3 linked regions of the Oryzias latipes genome follow. The protein of the gene in region 1 binds, or shares a complex with, the protein of each later gene. Links are inferred from orthologs where the notes say so. Each region holds a gene or a part of one and is shown on either strand. Other genes may lie near its edges.

Region 1 (7,679 bases):
CAATAGTCCTCTAGTAACTAAGTCAATAACTTTAGCCTTTTCACTACTCTTTAGGAATGAATGAATGATCTTGACTTATATGGCATTTTTATTTGCCACCGGAACCAAAGTGCTTTACACTACAGTGCAATAAAAAGATGAAAAGAGAAAATCCAATTTTTCAAGAAAATTAAGAACAAGAAACTAAAATAGCAACATTAGATAACAAAATTCAATAAAATACATGAAAGGCAGAAAAAAATATTAAATAAAATATAACATATATAAAAAATACTTCACCAACTACTGAGTATTAAGCCCTTCTAAAAAGACTAAGCTGGAGTTTTAAACTGTTTTTCAGTGCAGCTCTGAGGAAAAACTGTTTTCAAATGTTAGTGGAGAAAAATACATATGGAAGAAATTCAAACTATTTAGGAAAAAAATTGACCAACAGATTTAGAAAATCAAAATGTAAGAAAAAGTGCTATTATGTGGGTAAAAGTCACTGAGCAGAAATCAGATCCAGTTTTATTTTAAAATTATAGAAACTTTTAAAAAAGTTAAAAAGGGTTACACTTCAAAAACAACAAATTAAGACAATTTTTGGTCAATAATGAATAGGAATACAGCGATTCACTTTTCCCACAATTCCGTTCAAACCTCAATTTTTGGATCACGGCTTGTAGAAAAGTCCTTTTTAATTTGCTAATAAGAAGGACAATGAAATAACACATTTCAGGTGGTTCTTTCTAAGCCTGGTGTGATGTAATGTAACAATAAATAATAAATCCTTCTATAATCTAACCCAATTGTTGGAGACTTTCATCGTACCGCTGTGCAGTAGAGATGCAAAGATTCCCCACAATTTGGTTTAATGCTGGAAAAATTGTGGCATCCCTAATAATTACTACATTAGTAAGAACTGTTTAATTTCAATGAAAGAAAAAATTCTTCATCGAGTTACAAACCAGAACTCATTTTTAAGTTGTTTACTTACAAGTTCTTCTAGTTACTAGTCTGCAAAAATATTCAAGTGAGGCACGACAAGCAGGTCTGCTCGATGTTTGAGTGGATTCAAAACGGACTGATCAGTGTGGATGGAGGGAAGACACGGTGGTGTAAACACAGCACTGGTGGCTGCAGAACACACACTGCAGGTCCACAGCGGGCCTCTTGCGCTGCTGTGGACAATGAGCCGGACCTTCCTGCCACAAAGGAGAGTTCATGACATGCAGTGTGCCATGGCCGGCTAATCTGGGCGAGGTGAGTCACAACCTGTTAGCATGACTGGTGTCCCCCAGTCTGACACGCTGGTTTGTCTGACACAGCCGTGTGCGCGTAGACACTACACAAATATGTGCGTGCGTGCGCGAGCGCATACTCCATTGTCCCTCACGACCCTCCCAGCACTCCTGCTTCTCTCATCCAGATAAAATCCTTTCAGACACAAATTTCAATTATTCACCTCATCCAAATAATGCCATGTGACAAGAATTATCCCTACTGTAATAATCCACTTAACTGGGAAAGAGCAGCTCATCAAAAAGAGAGGAGAGAAGAAGGGGATGGAAGTGAGGGTGGTGCTGGGACTTGTCAAGCGGTCTCGAATCAAGACCCTCGTAACAAGAATTTCTTCCTTTTTTTGAGGCCGTCTTCAAGTGCGCTGGGATGACGAAATTGAAGTAAATTGAAAGAAAGCCTGGGAGAATGCTCCCACAATCAATAAAGCCAGGATTAAATTAGCCTTGGCATGAAGGGATGATGGGGGGAAGATGAAGAGTGAATGGTAGTGAATGACATTGAGACATGCAGGCTGAACAATACAGCGCTACTCCAACCTGTGCACATACAAGGACAATGAACGTAGCTGGGATGAATGCTCAAACCCTTTAATGACCAACGCTAGGCCTCCCTTACATGTTATTTCAAATAATAAGACTGATCTTCACTGCACTTAAATCGTATATTTTCCTGGTATTCACAAATTAAACTGCTTAGTCAGCTTACAGAGGAGGTCATCAAGTAAGAGGCAACTGGTTAGTGGCATGTCTCCCTGCGCCATTTTTCTTAAAGTCATAATCTACGGCCTTAGGAAACTACCGTGTGCTGCAGCCGCTCAGGTCAACGTGAACACAGCTCACTGTACCTCAATGACACGGTTTATGAAGCTCTTCATGTAAAACCCAATCATTTTGATTCACAGCATTTCTTTGGTTTCTAGGACTTCTTGTAAAGACAAGAAACACACCAAACTAAGAAAAGAGACTGCTCTAAGAGTTTCTGAGCTTTAAGCAAGTCTATGAACAATAAATGCATGAATTTGTTATAAATAAACCACAGCAAACCACCCCTAAAGCCAAACAAAGATAACTTTTTTGCTATAAATGATCAATACTAAATAGCTGATTTTCAGACAGAGGAGATTGGATCTTTATTATTTAAAATTAAGGAGAATAAAGTAATTTTGTGCTATAATTCAATAAAACAATAGGATTTTACAATAAAAATCTGATGGTTAAAAGTCTTTGATTAAATTTTTAAAAATGTTTCATTCTCGAAACAATTCTAAAAATTTAACTCAACAATTTAATAAAAGAATAAACACTAATGCAGAATTTTTTCCCAAGATTGCTATTTATGTATAAATAATTTTTGATTTAAATAAACTTAAATTCTCAGAAATACAATAAATATCTTTGTAAGCACAATAAACAGGCAAAAACCAGCAGCCAAACTTGTATTTCAATTAAGCACGCATGCTATAACTGTCTCTGTCTCATTTGTCAAATAGTTTTTCCTAAACTTCTTACCAAAGCTTCTCTGGGGCGAACTGCTCCATCTTCACCACGTGGAGGACCAGCCTGTAAGACAAACACTTGTGTTAGAGAGCCATCTAGTGGATAACAAGAGTACTGTCACCTTATTTATTAGAAAGTAACCAAGAAACTGAAATATCTACTTTTCAATTGATAGGACCCCCAACAACCACTTTATATATGGTTAGCTATTTATATAAAAAATAATATACATTTTAAAAACTGGCTGTAATAATTTTTCTTGCATTTAATGTATATTCTATGTCCTTCCTTTTTATGTTGGTCTTTTGACTTTTTGTTGTTATAACAAATATACATCTTTTTTTTTCGGGCACGTGTGTTGATGAAAAGTGCTATCTAAATAAAGTTATTAATTAAATATTGTTAAAATCCAACAATGAAATGAGGGAAAAAATATAAGTTTACGGCAGTTCGGGAAGACTAAGTTTTGTTCTTTAGCCTCATACTAAAGCAGATCAATGTCGCATGGGTTTTTAAATGTTTATGCAGAAGTAATTACACATATAACCCTTGTGCTATCCTATGGGGTCCAGATGACCCCATCCTTACATTGATGTGTTCTCCCTACCATGACAAAGGTGGATAAAGGTGAAGAGGATTTCATGGAATCCATGGACACCAGTGAAAATCACAAATCATTGAAGAAAAAAGGTTTAGTGCACTGACTTGTGGGGTCTAGATGACCCAACTCCCAATGTTAAAGTGCCTAGGATAGCACAAGGGATAAATGCATTCTCTTCAGTTCCAAAAATCATCACGTCTTTAAATGTTTCCATCTGCAATCAGCTAAATGCATTCAGTAGACTTTTACCTAAAAAGGACCCCAAAAGTAAATACATAATTTAAGGGGTTCTTTTTTTTTTTAATCATATCAAATTTAAGCTAGAGTTTGATCCTTAAAAATTATACCAGTGAAAGTTTAGGTCTGAATAGAAGACATCAAAAATACAGGAAATATTCCATAATTTCAACAACAGTTACTAATAATTTAACTAAAAAAGCAGTTTTTTTTTCAATAGTTACTGGCTTTCCAACCCCTCTTGATGAATCCTCATGGCAAAGTTAAAGGTTTGGAGTTTTTCTTATCATATTTCTCAGGGCAAACAGACCATTTTAGGTTGAAGATAACAAGATAAAGTATACAAATAGGGTGTAAACACAATAATACTGTGCCCTCCAAGTAAAAAAATAAATAAAAAAGGACAAGGTAGAATGTGACAAAAACATCTTTATCAGTTATTTTGGGCTTATTACAGGACCTGGACACTGAAAAGCTCCAAATCATAGTAATGTGCATTAGAGGGAACCAATGACACTGTTTGGTGTTTAATGACTTAATATAGAAGACTACTGTGAAATTTAAAGTGCAATGATAGAATGTGCGAATATTTTTTACCCAGACAAGTGTGGTGACTTTTGGAAACTTTTAAGACTGCTCTGGGATCGACTTTTACGTTAAAGTGAGTTGGAGAGCACCATGATTACTGAATTTGTGAAAACATAAAGGTAGCATTTCAGATATGGTGAAGCTTAGCCGTATAAAGCATTGTAACTGCAGTAAATTATTTTTGATCCATGTTCGTGGAACATTAAATGTCGAATATAAAATCCCGAGGTTTTTTTTTTTTTTGTGACCTTTCCCTGTGTCAACAATTATAATCCATGACTTTGACAGACCCAAACCCTCACCGCCATATAGAAAGCTGTAGCACGTGGTCAGTTATTAAATGCATAATTGTTGCTGAACCCCAGAATGCCTTTGACCTCCCATGTGTCGAAGACCACTTTAAAATAACACAACCAGTTAGCATGCTAACTAGCAAACAAGCTACCTCTCTTCGGCTGTGAAACGTTTGCTTAAAAGGTGTACGGAAACCAGCCACAAAATAGCAACTCAAACAAATGGTGCATAAATGTTTTCGGACGTCAAATGCTAACTGGCTTGGTGTATAGAGACCTGTGTTGGCGTGTCAGCTTGGTCGATGGATGCCATCTTCCTATAGTTCTCTGGGATATCCACGCTCGATTGCTTTTCCTGTTCCGTCCATTCGAAACATCAAAGTTCTTTAAAGCGTTTTATTTAGTTTAGTTGGGATGCACTTTCATCGGAACAAAGTACAGTGATGTATTTTTCCCCTCTCAGTTGCGAAATACGTTGAGCGGATTACGAAACAGAGTGGAGATAGGTAGACTAAACCTTTCCCCATTTCTCAAACAATAAACAACAATTCCCACAATTCATAGCGCCCTTCGGCGGTTATTTCCGTGTATGAAGAAGTAAAGGTGGCTGAGAGCTCAAAGCGGGTTTTCCCATTCTCTGTAGATTCCTTTACCGAATAATATTATCCTTTCAGAATAAATTTAAGAATGACTGATGGAAAGGCGTGTAAAGTGTGCAATTTCACCCGGCAAAAATCCTACGGAGTGTCTGCACCTTCTTTAGATGACTTGAAGAAAAAAGGTAAGGGAGGACCGAGAAGGAGGACTGTGGGAACTAGTATGAGATTATCTGACATTATATGCTTTTAATCAAAATAAGAAGCCGTTCATGTATTCGTGCAGTCGCAGATTTTAAGCATTTATTTTTATTTATCTGCTTCGCGCCTAAATTGAGAGAAAATCTCCAACCGCTGCACTGACTGTCACATTTAAAACTGCTTAAGCCGCAAAACAACGGTGATAATACTAGGCTATTCTTAATGCTTATGAATGTATTTGACTATAATTATATTATCTGTTCAATGTTAACCCCTACATGGCTAACATGAAAAGCCTGCTGCTGTTCATTCCTGAGATGCGAGTCACCAGGCGTTTCCCTGATCTGCTTTTTGCAAGAATATACTTTAAATATTCATTATCTGGAATCAAAACAATGTTTCACAACCCCCCCCCCCCCCCCCCACACACACACACACACACACAAACAACAACAACAACAACTAAAACCAGCAATTATAGTTTATGCATTTTTAAAATTATTATTATTATTAAATATTTCTTTTGTGCACTTATACATGTTCCATAATTGTGATATATTCCTTTTAATCGGAATGCTTATTAAAGGTGTTTTGCAGATTTGTTATGAAAGCTGTTTGAGAATTATTTAACAATATGTATTTTTAATAACAGTGAAAACGTTTTTATTTTTTCCAGCTATACTGGAACAAAAACTTTTTCAAAGAGGGCCAGATTTGGTGAGGTGAAAATGTGTGAGGGCCATCCAATTGGCCTATAAAAACCAGTTTGATCCAATTATTCACTGTTAAAGGCTAACTGTAAACTTGTCAGTTTCTATCATTGAACAATGAAATAACACAAATATTATGTTAGTCAGAAGTGGTTTTGATGACAGAAACAAATAAATCTCTTCATGTCTACAGGTTGTTGCATAGGTCCACGGTTTATAACGCAATCTAGCCAATCACAATCAAGAAACTGTAGTTCTTAGAAAGTGCTGTGGGCCGCATATTATTGAGGTTGCCGGCTGGTGGAAATTGGTTGCATTTGACCCACGGGCCGGACTTTGGACATGCCTGTCCTTACTGTAGTGTTTTTATCATTGGTATTTCCCATAGGTGTCAGACTTTTCTGTGGACCTTAGGATGAAGTATGTTCACTTGATGCATGTTAAGTTGGTAACCTGTCCTCTCTTCCGGCTCCAGGATCCGAGTATCTTGGCTTCAGCCCCGGTGACCCAGTCAAAGTGGTCCTGGAGAATGACGGGACAATAGTAGAAGATCAAACCTACTTCTTGTGTTTGCCCTCAAATACAAAGTTTATGTTATTGCATGACAAGGAAACATGGTCTCCAGCTCGCAAGAGTAAGAATCTCAGAGTCCATATTGATGATCATTATCCGTCTGCAGGATTTCTACATGTTGTGCTTTGGTACTCTTTGTTTTAGTCGATGGTGGCACCGCTTGGATGCAGAGGGAATCGGTTATGCTGGAGATGGACACTGTTGACACCGGCAGTAGCTTAGCACCCTGGTTGGACCTGGCTCAGCAGCTAAAACAAGACCTCACCAGCATCATTCTTATGTCGGAGGCCGATTTACAGGTCCTACCTTGTTCTTATTTCAGTGATAGAACAGCACAAAACTGCCTGGTATATGAGAAAATAAAACTTAAAAATAACAGTTTAGCGGTTTCCATAAAGATTTTTGGAATATTGTCAGTGACCATAAGGTTTGAAAGTTCTCTGACTTGCAAAACAAAATAAAACCATATTTTCTATGCCACCGTAAACTTACTATTGGTCATTATGGCCAAGAAACTCCACTTTGGTGTTAGATGCTTCTAAGCTTTAGCACCAAAAGTCTTCTGTTTTAGTCAAAGTCAATTTGAAGAACTCAAAATTCCATAACTTTTTTGGACTTTATATCTGTCTCCCCATTCAAATAAACAATTTAGTCTTCTGCACACCGCTTCCTGGTACTTAACATTTAGGTAAATATGCATAGACATATACACGTGTGAGGCGAAGAAACTCCTTAAATAATCAGAAATAATCTTTCTAACCACAGACTTTTGAATTCCAAAATGTCAGCTTTACAACACAATTATGTGCTTCTGCTTCCCACAAGCAAGCCACAATTGTAGAATATTCTACATTTTTCGTACCTTTAAACTGCTTTTTAGGACTTATAAGTTAATTAGTGAAGCTACTTTATAATCCAACCCTACAAAAGCACCAAAGGCCAACGTTTGAATGCTCTTTTATAAATTACATTATGAAAATAAAAATGTTTCTTCAACTCAAGAAAACCTTTGATCAGATTAATTTTATTTCATTTAAAGTTAAAGAACTCCACACAAGATTCTACTCCTAACGAATTAGGAGTTGTTGTTTAGTTCATATTTG
Region 2 (7,140 bases), on another chromosome or scaffold:
ACACATTTGATTTTTTTTGTTCAGATTTCAGATACGAATAGTTTGGGATACAATATGTCATAGCTCTAAATATTTGGATTTGGATTTGGAAATGGTTTATTTCAAGCAATCAGAGCAAAAAGAATGCAAAAACAAGACGAACAACAGAAATGTAAATCTATACAAAGATATTTCAAACATAGGATAGTTATTCATTCAAATATGATTACGTTCACGGACACTAATAAATAATTTAATTCTTAATCTTAATCATAAATAAATATATTTGTGAAAAAGTGTCTTGGTAAGTTTTTGGCAGTATTTAGAGTTTCAGTTTGCCAATAAAAGTTGTTTCCAGTCCTTTTCATTTTTTGGTCAAAGTCTAAGTTAAAGTAATCAGTCATTTTTAATTCATTTTATTGTCATTTGCACAACAGTCCTTTGTTCATAAATCTATTTAATCTGTTGCTTTCATTTTTTGTTGTGAAACAGAAATGCATGTATTTCGCAATCCTTATTTATTTATTTTTTTTAGCTTTTACGTACTCTAGTGGGGTTTGCCTCTTCCTTCCGTTGCCATGGCGATGCGAGAATTGGTGGAGGCCGAATGTGGTGGAGCCAATCCCCTCATGAAGTTGGCCAGTCACATGACCAAAGAAGAGGGGACATGGCAGCACCGCACCAGCCCTGCAGTGAGTAATGTTGGGCATTACTAACTAATGTAACATTAGCTGTTTTTTTTATTCCATTACAGCAGAATAAAATGCATTTAATGAACCGGTTCTGTTTTCTTTACCGCTTTTTCTCAGATTCCACCAACTCCTATTGAAATTGCAACCGAACAAGAGGTCTGTTTAGTTTTCTGTCCCTTTATACTAAAATATCCTTTTAAATATTTGAAATATTCACCTCAAGTTTTTAGAATTGTTATATTTTATGCATGAAAGCTATCTTTCAAATACTTACAGCTGTGAAATGTTTTTTCTTTTTTTTTTTGGTTTTTGCTCCAGTTGGTGAATGAGTTCCTTCAGGCCCCGCCACGCCCCCCCACCACATTTGACATGGGTCAGCTATTAGAGGAAATGCAGCAGATCGATCAGCAAAGCTACAGACAAGCTCCACAGAGAGGTGCACATCATTCTTCCAATTTATTCATACATTTTATACAATTTTTCTCTCTGCCATGTGATCTCAGCACATTTCAGAAAATGATATCCTCACTTCTTGTTTTAGCTCCTGATGTGGCCGCACTGGCCCTCTCTGGTGATTGGGCTGCCGAGTTCCTCTCCAGTTCGGATTCTGCCACCACACCGGGTCTCACCTCTCTTGGTGATTCAGCAGATTCTGATTGGACCAGAGAATTTATTGCTGAGGCTGCAGGTAACTGGAGTTTCTTCCGGTCTATGATTTACTGCAGTTGTCTCACTGATTTAGCGGATCTAACTGTTATCACATTTTAATGTTTATAAGCTACAATATGTACATTACAAATGTCTTTAAAGTCCCCCTCCATTAAAAATCATGTTGTTGTTTTTTTATGTATATCTGACATTTTTCTTATGAAAGAGAACAAATGTAATAAAAAATAATTTCTTTTTTTCATTTCTGAGTATTTCTCCTTTTAAATCAGTGGCAATTAAACTGACGCAAAGACGCGCTGTTTATATGAATGAGGCGTTGTGATGTCACAATGGCCTAGTAGTGCAAGCGCATTGCAGAAGCTCCCTGATCTGCCCCGCCAGGCGTGCACAAGCTCAGGTGCGTGAGAAGAGAAGATGGTGCATTGCTGCATTGCCTGCACATATTTTAAGTGCATCCAAGGCTGGATTTTGTTTTTGACCACATGTATGAAAAAAATCAAAGTGGCCGAACCGCGTTTGGCCCCTTGATCAAAGGTGGGGCTACTCAGCTCAGCACCAACAGCCACACCCATGTAGAGGAGATTTTGGAAACGGAGGCTTCAGATAAACATGAAATATGCCTTTTTACAACATTTAGGTTGTGGGATTTTGATTCAAAACTTCAGAATTATAATCAAAACACAACATTTTTTTAATTGTCATAGGGGGACTTTAATTTATTCTGTTTAATGTATTCCTCTCCAGACCCTGGACGCTGGGCAGAGGAGTATCTAGAGCAGTCTGAGGAGAAACTGTGGCTCGGAGACCTTGGAGACAAGGAAAGTGAATGGTGAGAGGTGGGCCATGCAAAGCGTGTGGATAATAAAGTGTTTGCAGGAAAAAGTCCTTCAGGCAAGCATCAGTGAGTGCGCAGTGGCAGCCTGACACCCCTACAGGAACAAAAGAGGAAAAGCTCCAAGGGAGACAAACGATAACAGATCTGAATGCAGATTTAAACCTTGAACGCTTTCTTAAGCGAATGTGTCGTTTTATGTCCACCCATTTACTTTTATCCTCTTCTAACTTTATGCATTGAGGCTAATTGTACCCAGAGCTGTCCATGCATACATATAGGGCCGTCTGAATTCTAAAGCTAATGTATAGAATATCGGCCTTGGCTTCTACTGACGTCTATTGAAAGCACAGCCTTCAGCAAACCTGAGTATTATCTCCAACCTACATAAAGAGAAAATAACAGAACAGTTGCTCTGCTTCTATTACAATCTTGTGGTATATTTTGTATTTGTCTGGCAGGACTAAAGAGTATCAGTCAGGAGAAGAGCTGAGGCAGACGGCAAATGAACTTGTTGCAAAGGTCGATGACCCCAAGTTAAAAAACACAGAGGTGAGTGCTGTCCTGCTCTGTCATGAATCAGTCATGTATTTTTTCCCTTCATATCTGTCGCCTTATTGTTTCTTGTTCTTTAGTATTAAGTGTTGGCTTTATAACCATTAGAAGAGTCATGTAAAAACAACCAATTATCCCCAATTAAAACCGCTGCTCAGTAACAATTTTGTGATATAAAGTTTTTTTTCTTTACTTTTTTTTATTGTTCCCCTCATTGTTGTGTAGTTCCTGAAATTCGTTAGGCAGATTGGCGAGGGAAGTGTGACAGTGGAGAGCAGAGCAGACAAACAGCTCACAGATAAAGCTCAGGCTGAGGAGGCTCAGAACTGGGCCTCCAACCTCAACCAGGTAGGAGTCACTGGCCTCTGAGGATGGTATTGCTACAACTAACAGCTGTATGTTTTGGGGGGGGGGATGAAATTGGTTCATGTTGCATAGGCTATGCAGTGTGACTCACCTCCCCAGTATCTGATGCAGTGCACCATTTTCCATGAAGGTAATCAAAAGCAGCCACCAGTTTCCTAGTAGTAGGAATCTCAAGGCTGCGCAGTGCTGAAGATCCAATTTGTTTTGAAAAGAAGAACTCGGCACGATTAGCTTTTCCTCTTAGAAATTTAGTTTAGGTTTAATAATAAGTTTAAGGTGTTAAAATGGTGACTCGAGGCAATACGACTTTCATACAGGGAATTTAAAAAGCTTTACAGTGATTGAAGATTTTGCCAGAGCAGCTTTGGCTTTGAATCTAACCATACACATTGTTGGCGAACATCTGAGCTGTTCAGCTTGTTGGTAGCAAAAGCTCAGTGTTCCATCAGTATTTAAATTTACTGCAGCTCAGAAATAAAAAAGTCCCTTTCCAATCATCTATTGATCAAAGTCTTCTCAATAGCTTTTAACTATGATTATGCTGTTTTTAGCCAAAATCAAGAAACCTGCCGTTTTCCAGGACATAGTTTCTGGAGAGCAGCAGGAGTTTCCACAAAGCAGCCCCGCCCCCTCTTCCCCTCCCCGTTGATGTAGAGCTCAGAGGAGGGAGCTTGGTTATTTTCTACGTCACAAATAAGGTCTTCTTCCAACTGCATTATTTTGTCTGCATCTGATTCACAACAATTTCAATAAAGAAATCCTCAAATTCAATTTTAAGCTTAACGTACTTAATATATGCCTTCCATAGAAAAATCATGCCGCTAGAAAATGTTAAAAACACGATTTCCATTGGAGTGGGTCTTTAAGTGAATGTCACATTTTAGAAGTCAACTTTTTTCCCCAAAAATACAGACATCCTTGGCCACCAACAAAAACATAAATAAAATGAATACAGTAATTATAAAGCTAATGTAGAAGTGAAGTCAACTGGCTACGCTGATTGAAAAGAGGTGCTGACATGACATTTTTCATTTTTGCGATCATGTTTTGCATCTTACACTTTTTTTAAGAATAAAAAGGTGACTTTTCATTCATCTTCTAAACCCATTTTATCCCTTTCTGGGTGACGGGGCTGCCAGAGCTTATCCCGGCTAACTCGTGGGCAAAGGCAGGGTACACTTTAAACAGGTCGCCAGTCTGTCTCAGGGCCAGAAATCACACACCCATGCACTCTCACATTCACACCTAGGGACAATTTAGAGTAACCTATTAACCTATGAAGCATGTTTTTGGATGGGGAGGAAGCCGGAAAACCAACTCCACACAGAAATGTCCCCCATTGATTCTGTTTCAGGTCCCCCAGCCAGGACCTTTTAAGACATGAGCCTTCTTGCTGTGAGACAAGAGCTGTTAAAAAGAAGTTTATAAGTCATTGAGAATGTATTTGTTACAATGTAACTTCATTTTTAGTTAACGTTTTATCGACAAACTGGTAGTTTTCAGTACAGTACCCTCGTTTATTGCAGGGGCTACTTTCTACAAATAACCTGCGATAAACAGAATCTACAGGATTTTTACTTTTTAATATTAACACTGTGTTGTGTGTTTAAGGCTGTAAAACCTCACTACAAACTTTAACATTCTCACACATTCTCTCTTGTTTTAACTCTCAAAGATTCAAACCTTTGTAAAACAAAAACAAAAAAGTCTGGCACTTCCGATTTTACGCTGGTAGCAAGCAAAGATTGATGTAAACTAGTCAAGCTGAACGCTTTCTGTAAAGGAGATGCAGCATGAGGCAGATTGATTGATAGTGGTCTACAGCCAATCAGGATGCAGAGCACAATGTGCTGTAAAAATGAAAAAACGTTTTTAAAAAATCAGCAAAACCCCAAAAGGTGAATCACATTATTATAGCATGGTACTGCAGGGTTTAGTGTCCAACTTTGTTTTTAGTGTCTGCTGGTTTCATTTATTCATTCATTATCTGCTGATTTGACAGGATAGACTATCTTCCTGCTGTTTAGCACGTCTTATTTGCTGAAATGTTGCCTTCTCAACCCAAAGAAAAATAGACTATCCCAGTTAGATTAAGTTTAATTCATAATCATGCAACATTGTCATGTGCTTTGCTCATTTCGGCTTGCCATCCCCTTTCATGTTTTACATTTGTCATGTAACATAGACAAAAAAAAAACCACACAACTCTGTTCCACCAACCACCCCCAAAAATTTTCCCTACCCACCGCTTCCTTACCCTCAAATCATTGCCCCATGTGCCTTCGCCAAACCCTTCCACCTCACGTCATAGTTCCTGGTGGAGACGGGGGGAGGAAGTCTTCCCTTGGAACGGCAGGAGATGAGTCAGAAGATTGAGAAAGTTAAAGCTAAACAAGCAGAGCAGTGGGCCAAAGTCATCAGGCAGGTAGGACCTTTGCAGTGGCGGCAGCACTAGGGATATAGGGGTAGTTGTGCCTGTTTTTTATTAGAGCTTTGCTTCTAGTATTTTTTGATAGATTTTTATCTGTCATTTAGACTCTTAGATAAGCCCAGCCGACATTCATTTAGCCTTTTCAGGCTTTTTTTTTTTAATAAGCAAGGAGTAGGAAAAAGGCTTTTTTCCCCTTTTGTCATTCCTGCTGCTTTTGCAATACTTGTGTTGTTATGTTTCTGCTTGAAGCATCCCAGATCTCCATTCTCATCAGATTTCTTAGCTAGTAGATTTCTGTCATCCGCTGCCAATGGTTTTATTGTTCTACAGGTTTCAGAGGAGTCGGCTGAAGCATGGGTAGATGAGTTCACAACAACAGGGCCGGATTTTCATCAAGCCAAAGCTGCAGTGGAGGTGAGCCAAACTTTTTTAAGTCCAAACCCAAAGCTTTTGTCCGATACTCAGGAGATTTAGCTCTTTTTGTTATAAATTTAGAGGAAGGAGGAGAAATCCAATCAAGAATTTTATCTTAATATGTCCTTATTAAAGCAAAATAATCCTGTTTTAGTTGAAGTTATTTCTTGACACGGTCGTTCAAGCCATCCACGCTTTTCTGTGGATAACAAAAGTCAAATAGTGTCTGCACTGTAGAGAAATGATTTGAACTGTGTGGGAAACTGTAAAATGGATGTGTCATTTTGTCAGAGTGATGTGGATTTCTGGGAGAAGCTGCAGCAGGAGTGGGAGGAGATGGCCAAGAGAGATGCAGAGAGCCATCCCTGGCTGTCTGACTTTGATCAGTTACTCAGCTCTTCTTATGACAAGGTAGCTGTCAACCTCCTCCATGCTCGAATCCTTTGAGAAATGGTGCTGATGTTGAAACCTTGTGTTGTATTACATTCTGCTGTAAGCCCGAGAGGTTCTTTTGTTTATAATTTGTCATTGGATTCATCATCATCAAAACATTTTGACCAGTTTGGTTGTGTTTTTTTTCTGTTTACTTTAGGGTTATCAATTTGAAGAAGACAATCCTTACCTGTCCCACCCAGACCCTTTGTCAGAGGGGGTTAAAAGGATGGAGGCAGGGGACATTCCTGGAGCCGTACGGTTCTTTGAAAGTGCGGTACAGAAGGAACCAGACAACCAGCTGGTGAGATTTCCTGTTTTTAGTTGCTAAACATTTATTTTTTTTCATTTTGTAATGGAAAGAGTCCACATTGAGTTTGTGGCATTTCTTTTTAACAGAAAGCAAAATATGGTTTTATTAAATTACCAATAGTAATTCTTTTTCTTTTAATATTTTTTTTTATTAACGAGGTTTATTCATTTAAAAGGTGAGTGTGAAATAAAGTGTATCTATTTTTACGTTTAAATTGCAGGCTTGGCAATATCTGGGTACCTGTCAAGCAGAAAACGAGCAAGAGTTTGCTGCCATCAGCGCCCTCCGCAGGTCAGAATGCAGAAGTGAAAAATCCAGCCTACAGGCTTAATGTTCAAAGCAGAAATCTGTCTCGCCAGGAAGTGCTGCAAGTTTAAGTGCAGTAAATAATATTTAGCTAAACCATTTTCTATAATTCTGTTTTAAGCAATAGGTAGGAAACAAAAATATATATTCT
Region 3 (7,715 bases), on another chromosome or scaffold:
ACCCATCTGAAAGGTCAACAGTGTTGACTGTCAGGTCACACCGCTGCCTGACCTCTGGCTCTCCGTCTGTTGTTCTCCGACTCACACAGAGGAACCATTCGGCACCAAATCTCCCGACGAACCGCTCCACCCCCTCACATGATGGAGCACTGATCCGGGGCCCCGGCTCCAAGGCCTCCAGGGAGGTTCAGGGACTCCATGTCAAAGTTTAAGCCTGGAGGCTAAACGGTGAAAAACAAAGGAAAGTTGGAGCAAAGCAGAAACTATTTTGGGAGACATTTCTTTTAAGTCATTGAAAATTTGAACTAAAATTCTATCATTTGCATCCTCTGGAAGTGTAGCCCCCAGTCTTTGGGCTGAAGACTGGTACCGGTCTGTGAGACGGTAGGTACAAAAAAAGAAAAAAAAAAATCTAAATTTCTTCCATTTTATTTATAGTCTGATTTTGACTGAAGTTTTATTTTGGGAAACTACTGGATTCTCTCCACATCCGACTCATTCTTGATGCACGTCAGGTCGTTTGGTTGCACTTTTGAAAATCCACCCACTGCTTTCTTAAAACGGCTGAAACAACTACAATGAAAACCCAGAAGGTAGCAAATTCAGCAAAAAAATTTTGGAAAGTTTCTGAAGTTGGCATCTTTCCCTTTGACAGTTATTGGTTAGGGGGAAATCTGTATCACAGTTTATTGGTTCCTCCAAGAAATCTAGGGCAAAAATGAATTTGAAAGCAGCTGCAGATATTTTACAGAGGATGAAGGTAAACTTTACCCTCAAAAGTTAAGGGAAACTGGAAGCTAAAATAAAATAAAATAAAATCAGACGTCTACTTCAGCCTCGTACTGACAGGTCCATGAAAATATTGTCCAGCATTAACTGTCTGTGGCCTGAAAAAAGGTTGGGGACCTGTGCGCTAAAATATGCATAAAATAAGAGTCCATCAAAATTCTTTAAAACGTGTGGAGTCAGCAAGACAAGAAAGACAAATGAGGGAACATGCAATAAAAATTACCCAAGGTGCACCTGTGCATAAGGTGAGGCGCCGCAAGTTTTAGCACCTATGATCAAACTTCAGTTTATTCTTTAAACTTTCAGACTGAAATAACTTGTCCTTCCTCACAACACGTGTGCTACTGTGGCTCCTTCTGCAGCAGACAGGGACCAGACTTAACGTTCTAGTCTGTCAGTGTTTTAATTTGAAGCAAAAGAACATTTGATTTAACAATGTGACACATTTTAGTGCCATCCATATTGGATTGTTTGGTCTGTGATCAGGCTGGCTTGACATCCTCATCTTGGAGCTTAAGATCCAGCAAAAACATTGGGAGGTTTTGGTAAAATGAGCCTCACAAAAATAGACTATTTGAGCTAATTTGGAAAAATAAATAAATGTATAAGAAATGAATAGTCTTGATCATTTTGGGGACAGTTTGGAGGCTGTTGTGTTCATTAGCAAGCATCTAAAGTCAGATGAAAATGACACACACACACACTCTCATCTATTTAAGTGGCACACTTGGTGGCTGACTAAAACCTTTTTTCTCCCACTGTTCATCAAAGAGCCTCTGCTATTAACAGACACCAGTAAGCATGTTTGAGATACTGCGTGAAATCAGTATTTATAAGAAAATTTAAAAAAAAGTATATATAAAAAAAGAAATGCAAGAAACAAGCCAAACTTACCACATCTCCTGCCAATTCCTTGGGTGGCTGGCCTAGATCCTGCAGCTATAAGGAGATAATTAAACACAAAACAGTTGAGTTCCTGTCCAAAAAACCAAAAACCTTGCATGTTTGAACTAATAAACACAACATTTTTTGTCCATGGATATGCTTAAAGGCGCATTTTTAATAAGCTTACATTAATAACTTAATTTATAGTATAAATTATAATATAATTATAATGTAGTTATTATCTCTGTAAGAAGATAATAACTGGGAAATTTGTGTTTGAAGGGTATTTTTTGAGCTTACAATATCTAAACTTTTAAATGCTGCTTGTTAGCCGTAACGGCAATAACAGTGTGTGTTCAGTGACCTTTTTAAAATCAGTTTTACAGGGAAACAGTTTAGCCATCAACAGTCCCTAAAGATATTAAAAGAGCTTTGCAACCATCACATCCATAAATGATGGACATCCTGCAGCTGGATCGTCGAAAAAGTGATGTGTTGTGACTTTTACTATGATTCAGAATAATGTGGATGATGTCAAAACAGAAAACATAAAAAGCAAATTTAAATAAACAAATCAATTGTAAATATTGTCCCAAAAGAAAAAAGCTGCATCACCTGCTGCATCCGGTCCATGATGCTCTCAAAAGTTCTCTCTTTGTTTTCTACTCCCTGTTCCTCGGCCTCAAAGAGCTTGCAGATATCTCCCATGACTTTGGATTGCTGTTCGTAGCGGCGGTAGTCCTCTGCACTTAAGCTGGGCTTGTTTGCTTGCAGCCACTCTGGGTACTGTGAAGGTGAGACGTCAACGGTCAAAGCTGGAAGAGTGGATTCAGAGTCTGATGGGTTCAGAGGAAACATCTGCAGACCTTAGTGGTGATTTCTTTGAGAGAAGGATACAGCACTTCTTTAGAGAGCAGGTTCTGCATGATGGACTGCATGACGGGGAGGATGTTCCCATCGTCTCCACCCCCTTCCCCACCCTCATCCAACCCAAGACCCTCAAGAGCCTTAACCAGGTCATCTCCAGCTAGACCTGAAGACTGGGTAAAACAAAACAATTGTCATTATTTTCCTTCAAAAGCTTTACACCAATATTCCTTTACGTCTAAGGAGCCAACTTGGAGGTTGTCTGCATTCTTCGCCAGGCCACGGAGGGTATCCTTCAGACAGGAAGTGAACTCCTGCTGGGAAGCTGTGTCTGTCCCTGTTTGGAGCAAACACGCAACTTAGACTGCAAGACCGACACATTCAGTATAACAAAGATTCACAACAAATAACTCCTCTTACCGACTTTGCCTGCTGCCTCTGACAGTTTCTGGAAGTGCTGCAGCAGTTCTGGCTCCTCCTGGGCCAGCTCGGACATGGCCTTCTCCCACTCGTCCCTGGCCTGGGTCGCCATGTCCCCCTCAAAGAGACTCTCAAAGAGTTTGCAGTCCTCAAGCAGGGGGGGCTACAGGCAGAAATGGAAGACTTGTGAAGATCGTACTATTGATGGGGTCTTTCAGTCCAAGCAGAAGGCAGCTGAATCCTAATGAACAGAAGCAGACACAGACCTTCTCTGCACCACTGCTGGCTGAGGAAGAGGCTGCTGCAGCTTCAGGGGCCGGAGGAGAGGAGGCTTTGTCAAAGTCATCCAAAGCGCCTAAAGGAAAAAGACACAGCAGTAGGCATTTATTATCCAAGCAATATATGAAATATTTGATCGATTGCCTTAAAAAAAAAAGCAATACTTTCAGCTCAGTAATTGTTTAGTTTCTGTTTGGATGGTCAGTCTGTTTTACTTTTGATCAGATAATAAACATAAAATGCAGCAGCAGTGAAGAGGTCAAGCTGACAAAATGATAAGTAAGTAGACGCATCTCAATATTTGGTCCATGAATCGATGCATAAAAGGTTCAACTAACTTTGTGGCGACAGGATAAAGTCCAATTCTTTTGACTAAACAAATACAATCTGAATATTTATTATTCATTCAATGAATATTTAAACCTGCATTGTAGGCTGCTTCGTTTCTTAAATAAAAAGGTGTCATATTAATTTATTCATGTATTGTTTTATGTGATGTGAGAAAAATGGTTATCAGAAGAATTTATAACTTCCTGAACAGTTTAACACATTTTTACCCACACTTGTTTGTATCTGTGGTTTTTCAACCAATTCTACTGCGATTCTCTGTGCTTGATCCCTTTTTGATGAACATCTGTATCTTTCTTTTACATCCCTAGTATAAGTTAAGATATCTATCTATCTTATTTGTCAATAATTTCTATTTTAAAACTAGACCTGAACAATAACATTTAAGAATACAGCAGAAGACAAAACTATAAAAGTAACACAAAGCAACCACAGATGACATATTAGAAGTATTTATAAATCAACAAGGAAAAAAACAACAATAAAATGTTCCTGAAAATTTTGACAATATTGTAATATTGAAAAAATAACAACACCTCTTTAACATTTTCTATAAACTATATCTCTATAATCCACTTTTTTTTAAACAATTAATATCCAAAAACATTTGAAAACGGCTTAAACTGGCTTTATTTTGAAGCCCGTGCGAGCTGTCAGTCAGCGATACTTTGGTAACTGTCACTGCTACCGAGCACCTGAAGCTTATACACGGTCATCAGAAGTGTCCAAGCAGCGAAATCTTCCTAGCAACAGACAGACACGTAAAAGGGTGAACCTAATATTCCTTCCTGACGAACTTACTGTCCAGTAACTCGTCCAGTTCTGCGTCTACTCCACCGGACACCTCTTCTCCTCCGGACGCCATAATGCTAAGACAGCTTTGTCTCACAAAATTGACGTTCTGGCTATAAAAAACGTCGCACATACTCTACGTCACAAGCCCATACCGAAATCTGGCACCACCTGGTGGCGTGAGTAGGCATAACAGCTTTTCTCTGCGGATCACATGCAGGAGGATCAACATGTGACGCTTTGTCCCTCATTTTCGTGACCACCGACCGTTTCATCAACTTAAAAACGTAACAATCAAAAGTTCAGTGGCACAGTTTTATGCTCTGCAACTTAAGTGAGTCTTTTTCGGAAATATTTGTCTTCAAAATGTGCTTGAAGTAAAAAAAATATATATCTATACACCTTTTTAAAAAAGAGATTTTAATGTAATCTGTATATTAAGTTCTTTTTAGCATTTAGCAATAAATGGGTTTATTGGCACTCTCAAAATTTTAAATTAGCATAGAAAACTGTCTTATTTTTAAACTATTGCTGTCATGAAACTACAAAGAGGCTTTGGGAGCTTGACCACTCCTCCAAGATGCAAACGTCAGATAAATATTGGCAAAATGATGCTTAAAGGTTTAATCTACCGTTAGAACTGTTTTTTTATTTAATAAATTTAAATCATATATTCTTATCTTCAGCTGTCCTACAGTTCTTAAACGTATATAGTTGCAAGTAAAACTGCAACAGCAGCAAGAGGACCTCAGTTGATACAGGATGTATTTTATTTTGAAAAGAACTTGCTTTTCTGCTGTCAAAAGTTATCTTTAGAAAAATATAGGACTGGTATGATTCTGTCAATATTAATACCTGAAACATTATATAAATAATGTTAAAATACATTTGATCAATGAATGGTTTAATAGTCACACAGTAGTTATCTAAACATTAAAGTGGGACGTTACGGCTCCTGCTTGGTTTTGGACATTAAAGCATTAAAGGGTGCAGACAGGTGTGATTCCAAACACTGCAACATGGTTTGGCAGCACAACAGTTGGAAGTCAGTCTGCAGCACACGAACATTCCAATCAGTAGTAGTGAAAAGTGTCATGCTGATCATGAGGCACCTATCTGATGCTTGGAGCAGACACTGACCCCTGTAGGAGAGTCCATGCTCTCAGCTGTCTGGCAGCACCGGGAGGCACCAAAAAAAAAAAAAGATGCGATAGAAGATTTTTCTTATAGGTACAGAAGATTTGCCACATTTTTTGTGGGTACAACCAGAGCATGGCGTTTAAAACCACCATTTAACTATTATGCCTGAGAAGAGTTGTTGCACCAAAGTATGAATCTCCTAAATACAATTTTTAACATTTTGTTTTGAGTCAAGTTCATTATTCAGTATTAAACCTTTTTTTTTCTCCTTTCAAAGATTACATAATAATAATAAATAAAGGAAAGAATTAATAAGTTTATTTAAAAAGTACATTTAACATTTGTTGCTAAAGTTCACCACTGAAATAAAAACATTTGGCTTTTGGATTGTAAAGCCTTTTCTTTTTCTTATTAAAAATACTAAAAAGGCTGTGACAGTTACCACACTGACACACTCTTGAACATCTGGACACAAATGCACATCGCTTTGAATTATAAATCTTTTTTTTTTTGTTGAATTTACTCCAAAGTTGAAAGGAAAGTAATTGATAAACGTTTTTTTAAATTATTACTAACATTAAGCCGAGCGGCCAATGAAAGTTCTGGTGTGTTCTCACAGGTTCATTTGTCTTCCTTGTGGATTCATTAACATTGTTACCTTTAAAATATATGTGATAAGTAATTGCATTTTATTATTTTGGCAAACATTATTCAAATCAACGTTGCCACACCTGGCACACCACTTTTGTCACATGAACTTTTTGTGTTTCCCCCTCTTTCAGAAAATGAAACTCTTTCCTTTTGCAGTTCTTTTATTTTTTGGGATCTTTAGCAGCATTTCTAGTGGGATGCAGATCTGTGAGCTGATGAAGGAAAATCTGTCAGTCTGATGAGGCAAACACTTCAAACAGAACATTTCTCACTGCATTCAGTTCTCTGTATCGCACACAGTCTGCAGTTTCTGCAGTATCAAGAAAAGAGGAGAAACTCCCTCATGCTGGGTGTGGGCAGCAGAGGTCCAGCCTGGAACACAATGTGGGCGGAGCTTAGTCACACATAAAGAATGGTGCAGATACTTGAGGCCTAATTTGGTTTTCTGGGCGGGGCTCTTCTCCTTGGGACCACTCTAGAGCAGCCAAGGGGGTGAGGATTTACAGTCTGTGCCTAACTTCCACTGCACATCTTGTAGGAGAGAGAACAGCTGCAGCCGAGTTTCAGAAAGGTAAGGAGGCGTCAGGGTTGGAGAGAAATGCAAAGGAAGGAATTTCTGTTTTCATTTGGAACCACATGTCTGAATAATTGTATGTTTTATGATCATTTTTTACCTTTTGAAATGTTTTGCGTGCCTGACGAGTGGACTAAAAGGGTTGCCGCATCGACAGAGATCAGCATTGAAAACATCTTAACCCTTGTACTATCCTATGGGGGCAAGATGACCATTGACGTGTTCTCCCTACCATGACAAAGGTGGATAAAGGTGGAAAGATTTCATGTAATCCATGGACACCAGTGAAGATCACAAATCATTGAAGAAAAAAGGTTCAGCGCACTGTCTAGTGGGTCTAGATGACCCAACTCCCAATGTTAAAGTGCCTAGGATAGCACAAGGGTTAAGCACACGCATGTGGATCTGTCACGAAGTTCTGTTTTTAGTTTTGAGTCTTTTGTGGCGGCGCAGGGCGTGGCAGGCGGCACACCCACCTTCACCATCAATGATTGAAGCTCTACACGAGTTTTTACAGTGTGACACTCATGGCACATTTAGGAGGAGGATTAACTCTCTTTTAGCCTGGATTTGTACCAAAACCTGCCCGGAGGGTTCTGGCTCTGATGCAAATGTAAACCAGAAAGTTCTGTTTGAACAGAACCAGGCAGAACTCTTCCTCATTGTTTAAGAAGACCTGTCTGCCTCATTCAAACCAGAGATGGCGTGTGTCCAGATGGTCCGAACCTGTTTCTGACAGGTGTTTTTGAGCAAAATAGGTATTTGGGAAAAACTTAAACCTTAGTAAGCCAGCGGTGACTCACACGCACAAGGATAGCGTTCCAACACTGAAGGTTTTGTTTTTGACCCTCAGATTTGACTCTAAGTGAATTAGAAGCATAATTGTGTAAGTGATGCTGTGTCATGACAACGGCTCAAACAACAACACACATGACCTCTGAGCCTGCAGCAAACAAGGGTTTCCTGGTCT

What was found.
Region 2: the proteins of pex14 (region 1) and pex5 are in contact, whole or in part, in an NMR structure (PDB 4BXU), measured with the Homo sapiens proteins. The link is inferred for Oryzias latipes from reciprocal best matches to the Homo sapiens genes PEX14 and PEX5. Residues at the interface, in NP_004556.1 of Homo sapiens: Thr31, Phe35, Asn38, Arg40, Val41, Ser44, Pro45, Thr48, Arg49, Phe52, Lys55, Lys56; in NP_001124497.1 of Homo sapiens: Glu59, Leu62, Val63, Glu65, Phe66, Leu67, Gln70.
Region 3: the proteins of pex14 (region 1) and pex19 are in contact, whole or in part, in an NMR structure (PDB 2W85), measured with the Homo sapiens proteins. The link is inferred for Oryzias latipes from reciprocal best matches to the Homo sapiens genes PEX14 and PEX19. Residues at the interface, in NP_004556.1 of Homo sapiens: Leu28, Thr31, Ala32, Lys34, Phe35, Asn38, Ser39, Arg40, Val41, Ser44, Thr48, Phe52, Lys56, Leu58; in NP_002848.1 of Homo sapiens: Gln67, Phe70, Phe71, Leu74, Phe75, Ser77.

Annotation. Positions count from the first base shown.
Region 1 is NC_019865.2:9,512,074-9,519,752, reverse strand, and holds the start of pex14 (peroxisomal membrane protein PEX14), read right to left. Parts: upstream 5,045-7,679; 5' UTR 4,810-5,044; coding exon 4,774-4,809; intron 2,841-4,773; coding exon 2,790-2,840; intron 1-2,789. Other genes in the region: dffa (DNA fragmentation factor subunit alpha), read left to right, coding at 5,184-5,277, 6,479-6,637, 6,721-6,875. UniProt on the Homo sapiens protein: Component of the PEX13-PEX14 docking complex, a translocon channel that specifically mediates the import of peroxisomal cargo proteins bound to PEX5 receptor.
Region 2 is NC_019874.2:20,504,166-20,511,305, forward strand, and holds part of pex5 (peroxisomal biogenesis factor 5), read left to right. Parts: intron 1-514; 5' UTR 515-557; coding exon 558-671; intron 672-788; coding exon 789-827; intron 828-989; coding exon 990-1,107; intron 1,108-1,212; coding exon 1,213-1,359; intron 1,360-2,084; coding exon 2,085-2,169; intron 2,170-2,633; coding exon 2,634-2,724; intron 2,725-2,952; coding exon 2,953-3,075; intron 3,076-5,404; coding exon 5,405-5,518; intron 5,519-5,854; coding exon 5,855-5,938; intron 5,939-6,229; coding exon 6,230-6,349; intron 6,350-6,530; coding exon 6,531-6,674; intron 6,675-6,903; coding exon 6,904-6,974; intron 6,975-7,140.
Region 3 is NC_019875.2:3,243,905-3,251,619, forward strand, and holds the start of pex19 (peroxisomal biogenesis factor 19), read right to left. Parts: upstream 4,482-7,715; 5' UTR 4,454-4,481; coding exon 4,390-4,453; intron 3,317-4,389; coding exon 3,228-3,316; intron 3,125-3,227; coding exon 2,962-3,124; intron 2,879-2,961; coding exon 2,778-2,878; intron 2,715-2,777; coding exon 2,541-2,714; intron 2,461-2,540; coding exon 2,290-2,460; intron 1,729-2,289; coding exon 1,684-1,728; intron 222-1,683; coding exon 135-221; 3' UTR 1-134. UniProt on the Homo sapiens protein: Necessary for early peroxisomal biogenesis. Acts both as a cytosolic chaperone and as an import receptor for peroxisomal membrane proteins (PMPs).